Linked DNA regions of Saccharomyces cerevisiae S288C. The protein of the gene in region 1 interacts with the protein of each later gene in a pairwise test. Each region holds a gene or a part of one and is shown on either strand. Other genes may lie near its edges.

Evidence for each region.
Region 2: the proteins of YSF3 (region 1) and HSH155 interact in binary tests that used the Saccharomyces cerevisiae proteins (3 or more experiments, as listed by UniProt).

The regions. Positions count from the first base shown.
Region 1 is NC_001146.8:364,336-367,183, forward strand, and holds YSF3 (U2 snRNP complex subunit YSF3), read left to right. Parts: upstream 1-1,697; coding exon 1,698-1,700; intron 1,701-1,822; coding exon 1,823-2,077; downstream 2,078-2,848. Other genes in the region: THO2 (Tho2p), read right to left, coding at 1-1,382; SRV2 (adenylate cyclase-binding protein), read left to right, coding at 2,406-2,848. UniProt on the Saccharomyces cerevisiae protein: Involved in pre-mRNA splicing. Required for the SF3b integrity and prespliceosome assembly.
Region 2 is NC_001145.3:843,867-849,268, forward strand, and holds HSH155 (U2 snRNP complex subunit HSH155), read left to right. Parts: upstream 1-1,704; coding exon 1,705-4,620; downstream 4,621-5,402. Other genes in the region: DSS1 (exoribonuclease II), read right to left, coding at 1-1,479; aminodeoxychorismate lyase ABZ2, read left to right, coding at 4,819-5,402. UniProt on the Saccharomyces cerevisiae protein: Contacts pre-mRNA on both sides of the branch site early in spliceosome assembly.

The DNA.
Region 1 (2,848 bases):
TCACCAGATGAGGTCATTGATGTGTACAATGGATTTAAAAGATATTCAAATACTCTTCCCAAATATCTAGATAAGGATTCACTAACATATAACACTTTCGGATATTGCTTTAACACATGTATCACGGGAATAACGCAACCATGTATGAGTAAGCGTTCCAAGAGTTTTATTTTACCAAATAATAAAATATCTTGCTGAGTTTTCTGCTTGCCTTTTGATTCTATATCAGCGTTTGTTTCCTCAGAGATTTTATCCTTCATATTAACATCATCATTTACAACAAGGGCGTTGTCTTCGTCAGTTTCATTTTCAGTGGACAAAGCAGCTGCCATAGCCAAGGGATTTTCTACGCCTTTAGTGGACTCCTCTTCCAGTTCAGTTTCTAAGTTTTGAATATATTCTTGTAGAAATTCCATCTCTGGTTTAACGTTATCCCAAATAGAATAAAAATTGACAAACCCATTTTTCAGTAAAATGCAACACATATCCATATACCGTTCATAGTTTTCCTTATCGACTTCTTCGTTATATTGCGATAAATTGAATGAAATAATGTTTGCTGCAATCATATTACCGCCTTCATTAAGAGAAGAATAATTGGAATTGTTAGCTACATGGCTAGATGGCCAAGAATCCGACTTTCGTAAAAGAGCAATAAAGAACTTGTACCCTTCAGTGATAAACTGACTAGAAACGTTCAAAATAACATCTAAAGTACGAATAGAATCCAAGGAATATTTCCCCATAATATGATAGATTTCTTTCAAATATGCGGACACTTTGGAAAAATTGTCGGGATCATAATACGCCAATATTAATAAGGCTACCAATTGACCATAACCCACTGAATTTTCTACCAAAAGGTTATATTTCTTCAGTTCGTATTTTGACTTTTTTAACAAATGCCTTAATAAGGTGGTTTGTTCCTTGTTGAGCAGCTTAGAGGATATCCAACTAAATTTGAACAATTCTTCATGCAACGACGGTATTAGTTTACATAATGATATGGTTGTTAGATCATTTATATTTGGAACAGTGCTTGAGACGGCGATAAACATTTTACCAACTATGGAAGCCTGGGACACTTGCCTTTCATGATTCACTAATTCATTAGTAAATGATGCAACATCAGAAAGCTTGAGGGGAGAATTTTCATCGTTTTTATTTATGAAATCAAACAGTTCAATAAACAAAGTCCTCAACCAGTCTTCCTTTTCATCATTTGACTCCAGTGCAGTGAAATCGGAGCAGAGAGTTTTTGATCGTTCAGGCCAGTTTCGTATCACCTCTTCCGTTAAAATGCTTGCCTGACTAGGGGAAGCTGGTGGTATCACTTTTTGAGAAAGAGCGTTCAATTTGGAAAGTAGCGTCTGTTCTGCCATAAAGTCCTGAAAATGTATACTGGTGCGAATATGTATCAACTGAAACCGTTTCACCCTATTATGCTTTAGATAAAGACGATAAAATCACAGCCCTATAATTTATGCAACAGTGTTTGCTTCTAAATCAACGTGTTCCCTGGGCATAAACTCTCATACGTTATGTCGCTATTGAAGAAATAGCGGAAAATCTTACGCCGAAGTTAGCGTTGTCACCCGGGAAGAAGAGAAGAACATAAGCCTTCTCATTCAGAACATGTAAATAGTGGCTAAAATGGTTATATTACACAATTCGAAACAGTGAAATTAAGAAAAGAAATGGTATGTTACGTTCTATTGCGCTTTAGTTTGAATTGAAATCATCTTTACCATGGTACTAACTACGCTTGCGATGAATCGTGCAAGTCCGTGCGGCTTATACGTAATGCTAATACTCAAAACAGGCGGAAAAGCAGAGGCAGTTGAAGTTGCAGAAGATATACAAACAAAAGTACATCGGACTGGGAGATGAGAGCACTACACGAGAACAGTGGCAGAGAAATGTGAGAAACGATACACTAAATACATTACAAGGCCACTCCGCATCTTTGGAGTACGTTTCATTGAGCCGAGGAGACCTTAGTATACGTGACACTCGTATTCACCTCCTGAAATCCATGTCCCCTGGCTATAAAGCCTACTTACGAGAAGAGAGGTAGGACGTTGAAGCCACATCCATAAATAATTTTTACATAAAATTACGCCTCGTATGTCGTTCTCAAGATTTATGGTAGAGATCACACTCAGTCAGTAACCTTTTAGGCATTGATTCTAGTAACTGTCGAACATTATTAACCTTGATGTTTATATAAAGATATAAAATGTTGGGACAGTATACAATTCATATCGTTTAAAATGATCTATACATGTCGCGTGAAGTCATAAACAGGGATTTAGAAGTGAAATCTTTTGGTAGTATAGGGGAAAACTCAGCTTGAAACTTTTCGTAATTGAGTAGGCCAAGTTGCAACCGTGTGAAATCGAATCATGCCTGACTCTAAGTACACAATGCAAGGTTATAACCTTGTTAAGCTATTAAAAAGGCTAGAAGAAGCCACTGCAAGATTAGAGGATGTCACCATCTATCAAGAAGGTTATATTCAGAATAAATTGGAGGCATCTAAAAATAACAAGCCTTCCGACTCCGGGGCCGATGCGAATACTACGAATGAACCTTCTGCAGAAAATGCTCCTGAAGTAGAACAAGATCCGAAATGCATAACTGCGTTCCAATCTTACATCGGTGAGAATATTGATCCGCTGGTAGAATTATCAGGAAAGATCGACACGGTGGTCTTAGATGCTTTGCAGTTGCTAAAGGGAGGCTTTCAATCGCAATTGACTTTTTTAAGAGCTGCTGTGAGATCAAGAAAACCGGATTATTCTTCTCAAACTTTCGCTGATTCTTTAAGACCTATCAACGAAAATAT
Region 2 (5,402 bases), on another chromosome or scaffold:
CGAGGAAGCAGGTAATGCTAAATCCATGTTAAGTAACAATGGATTGGGTATTGAGTTGGGTGTTATCTCATTGATTAAATCTTGACATATATCTCTTGTGATGTCACAATCCTTATAGCGTTCTATCTTTCTGAATATTTTTGAGATCAAAGCTACTATAATTCCGTTATTGTGAAAATTCCCAGCAGCAAAATCTTTCAATAATTGGATCACAGAAGGATATAAAGCTGATATATCGCGATATTTCCTTTCATTCACCAATTTTACAAACTTATTGACCTCTCTATAACTGTTGGCTTCTAGCTTCTCTATCACCTGCGCATAATATAAATGTTGTGATTTTAAGGGAATAATCGTTACTGATATAGGCGACAGCAACGCTGTATTCAGATGGATTTCCCCCCAAAGGTTCGATTCCTGTTGTTGCATAATCGCCCAGTACGTGGAAACAAAGGTAGGTGAATTTATTGGTATATCGTTTACAGTGTGATAGTTATTAACTAAACTAGTTAAGTAATTTATTCCATTTTTATCGTCCAAGGCTTTATTTAAATCCAATTTCTGAACTAATCCGACTAGGGTAAAAAAAGGAATCTGCCATGGACCCATATAATTTTGTAATGATCTGTGGAGTAACTGTAATTTTTTGGTAGTAATGGGCAAATCTTTCCAGGCCAACTTTGAAATTTGGGCTGGATACCTACTTGTTATTAGCTGCCTTGCTACAATAGGCAAAATATTCGTTTGGTTAGAAAAGTTCTTAACGGTTCCAATTGGCAAATGTTTGTGATGGCTCTCAGGCTGTATAAGTGAATGGATTCCAGCAGGTAATTTGTGAGGAATCCTCAATAACACCCGGTTTTTGGTCGCAAAGCACATAGTTCCATCAATAGTAACAAAAGTGTATCGAGGATCCATAGTGCTACTTGGAAGACTTACACACATCGCCAATTCATTGGGTCTCATTTTTAAAAGAACAAAGTCACCAACATTTAAGGGACTTTCCATTAGCTGAACAGGTTGAAATTCCATTGGGTTTGGAGCTTTCAGTTTTGTTATTAATTGAAAATCTGAATTTATTAACTTGTAAAGCGGAATTTTTGGTTTTGTTAAAGACCTCCAGGAGTTTACGTACCAATCTTCGGAAGGTTTAACATACCTATCTTTATAACGTTGGTTAAATTCCTGTTTAATTTGAGGCAGTTGTTTTAATTCAATATCAGGCTCTAATCCTTTTGTTCGTTGCAGAAAGTCTTTGTTTATTGATTCTATATCTTTCTCCGGTCCAACCGAACGGTCTACAACTGTCTCTGTAGCTTGATCATTATCTAGCTCTCGTGTGTGATCTAGTTCTACTTTTGCTTGCTGCTTACTCTTACTTCGCTGTCGTTTGCCTCTGGTAGTTACTCTGAAGCAAGGTGTGTAGGAATGAAAGCTCCTTGCAATTAGAAGAACATGTACTTTCCGCCTAACTACCATCACCTGTCTTTATTTATTCCGCTGACAGATATGCACAACCAATTATCGTCTCTTGAAAGCTTTTTAGACGTGATTGCTGTTATTTGGCACGTTGTTAGTATTTAAGCTTATTCGGGTTTGCATTGATATTTGCCCGAGCAGAAATCTCCTTCTCGATGAGTTAGAACTGAAACATCTCTTCAATTACTTATACATAATAAACATAGAAAGCCAGGACCTGTCATCATGAGTCATCCGATTCAATTTGTAAACGCTAATAATAGCGATAAGAGCCACCAATTAGGCGGTCAATATTCTATTCCTCAGGATTTGAGGGAAAACCTGCAGAAAGAAGCTGCACGTATTGGTGAGAACGAAAAAGATGTGCTACAGGAAAAAATGGAAACTAGGACAGTGCAAAATCGAGAGGATTCATACCACAAAAGAAGGTTTGATATGAAGTTTGAGCCGGATTCCGATACACAAACTGTTACGTCTTCAGAAAATACCCAAGACGCTGTCGTGCCAAGGAAAAGAAAATCTCGTTGGGATGTAAAAGGGTACGAGCCACCTGATGAATCTTCAACAGCGGTCAAAGAAAACTCTGATAGTGCTTTGGTTAATGTAGAAGGAATCCATGATTTGATGTTTTTTAAACCTTCTGACCATAAATATTTCGCCGACGTTATATCCAAAAAACCCATAGATGAGTTAAATAAGGATGAAAAGAAAGAAAGAACCCTGTCGATGTTACTTCTGAAAATAAAAAATGGCAATACAGCGAGTAGGAGGACTTCTATGCGGATTTTAACCGATAAAGCTGTTACATTTGGTCCAGAAATGATATTTAACCGCTTATTGCCCATATTACTAGACAGAAGTTTGGAAGACCAGGAAAGACATCTAATGATCAAGACCATAGATCGCGTCCTTTACCAGCTAGGAGATTTAACAAAACCTTACGTTCACAAAATACTTGTAGTAGCTGCCCCATTGCTAATAGATGAAGATCCAATGGTTCGTTCAACAGGCCAGGAGATAATCACCAATCTGTCTACAGTCGCTGGCCTAAAAACCATTCTAACAGTAATGAGACCTGATATTGAGAATGAGGATGAGTATGTTAGAAATGTAACTTCAAGAGCGGCGGCTGTGGTGGCAAAAGCCCTTGGTGTTAATCAATTGCTTCCTTTCATCAATGCAGCATGCCACTCACGGAAGTCTTGGAAAGCAAGGCATACTGGCATAAAAATTGTGCAGCAAATAGGTATACTTTTGGGAATAGGTGTCTTGAATCATCTTACTGGGCTGATGAGTTGTATCAAAGACTGCCTAATGGATGATCACGTTCCGGTGCGAATTGTTACAGCACATACTTTATCAACACTAGCAGAAAATTCTTATCCATATGGTATCGAAGTTTTCAACGTTGTACTGGAGCCATTATGGAAGGGTATAAGAAGTCATCGTGGTAAAGTGCTATCTTCTTTTTTAAAAGCTGTTGGATCTATGATCCCATTGATGGACCCAGAGTATGCCGGTTATTATACCACAGAAGCAATGAGAATAATTAGACGTGAATTCGACTCTCCCGATGATGAAATGAAAAAGACCATTCTTTTAGTATTACAAAAATGTAGCGCTGTAGAATCCATAACGCCAAAATTTCTGAGAGAAGAAATCGCGCCAGAATTCTTTCAAAAATTTTGGGTCAGACGAGTGGCATTGGATAGACCATTAAACAAAGTTGTTACATATACTACTGTTACATTAGCAAAGAAATTAGGTTGTTCTTATACCATTGATAAATTATTAACACCATTGAGAGATGAAGCTGAGCCGTTCAGAACAATGGCTGTCCATGCTGTTACTAGAACAGTAAACTTATTAGGGACAGCAGATTTAGATGAGAGATTAGAAACGAGGCTTATTGATGCGCTCTTGATAGCATTTCAAGAACAAACAAATAGTGATTCTATAATCTTTAAAGGGTTTGGGGCAGTGACGGTGTCACTTGACATCCGTATGAAACCGTTTTTAGCACCCATTGTGAGTACGATTTTAAATCATTTAAAGCATAAAACTCCCTTGGTTCGTCAACATGCAGCAGATCTATGTGCCATACTAATACCAGTCATCAAGAACTGTCACGAATTCGAAATGTTGAATAAATTGAACATTATATTGTATGAATCCTTAGGCGAAGTATATCCAGAGGTATTAGGTTCTATAATCAACGCTATGTACTGTATTACTAGCGTAATGGATTTGGATAAACTACAACCTCCTATTAATCAAATTTTACCAACCTTAACTCCAATTTTAAGAAACAAGCATAGAAAAGTCGAAGTAAACACTATCAAATTTGTTGGACTTATTGGTAAATTAGCACCTACCTATGCACCTCCTAAAGAATGGATGAGAATATGTTTTGAACTATTAGAACTTTTGAAAAGTACAAATAAAGAAATAAGAAGATCAGCAAATGCCACGTTTGGATTCATTGCTGAAGCAATTGGACCTCACGATGTTCTTGTTGCGTTATTGAACAATTTAAAGGTTCAAGAACGTCAGTTACGTGTATGCACGGCTGTTGCTATCGGTATCGTTGCTAAAGTGTGTGGTCCTTACAACGTGCTGCCAGTAATCATGAATGAATACACAACACCAGAGACTAATGTTCAAAACGGTGTTCTCAAGGCCATGTCATTCATGTTTGAGTACATTGGTAACATGTCTAAGGATTACATATACTTCATAACACCATTATTAGAAGATGCACTCACCGATAGGGATTTAGTTCATCGTCAGACAGCGTCGAACGTAATAACCCACTTAGCTTTAAACTGTTCAGGTACAGGTCACGAAGATGCCTTCATTCATTTAATGAATCTTCTAATACCCAATATTTTTGAAACTTCACCACATGCTATTATGCGTATTTTAGAAGGTTTGGAGGCACTGAGTCAAGCTCTTGGCCCTGGACTATTCATGAACTACATATGGGCAGGATTGTTCCATCCAGCGAAGAATGTAAGGAAAGCATTTTGGAGGGTGTATAATAACATGTACGTAATGTACCAGGACGCCATGGTACCTTTTTACCCCGTTACACCAGACAACAATGAAGAATATATAGAAGAACTGGATTTAGTTCTGTGAATATATATAGAGCATATAAATAACCACAACTTGTAAGAATATTTTACTTGACACACCTATATCATCACGTCACGATGCCTTCATAGATTATGATGAAATATAAACAGAACCTGCTATTGGAAAAAAAAGGGCAGGAAAAAATTTTGTGAAAGTGAGTAAAAGAAAGATGAAGAGCGAGACATGGATAATAAGAAATAGATGTCACTAATGGACAATTGGAAGACTGATATGGAAAGTTACGATGAAGGAGGCCTAGTTGCTAATCCGAACTTCGAGGTTCTGGCCACTTTCAGGTACGACCCTGGTTTTGCACGCCAGTCAGCGTCAAAGAAAGAGATCTTTGAAACTCCAGACCCTCGATTAGGTTTGAGAGACGAAGATATTAGGCAGCAGATAATTAATGAGGATTACTCAAGTTATTTACGAGTAAGGGAGGTTAATTCCGGCGGTGACCTTCTCGAAAATATTCAGCATCCTGATGCTTGGAAGCATGATTGCAAGACCATTGTGTGCCAGCGTGTAGAAGATATGCTACAAGTCATTTATGAACGATTTTTTTTATTAGATGAACAATACCAAAGAATAAGAATAGCATTATCATACTTTAAAATTGACTTCAGCACGTCTCTGAATGATTTATTGAAGTTATTGGTTGAAAACTTGATTAATTGTAAAGAAGGAAATTCAGAGTATCACGAAAAAATTCAAAAAATGATCAACGAAAGGCAATGCTATAAAATGCGGGTACTTGTCTCTAAGACAGGAGATATACGAATTGAGGC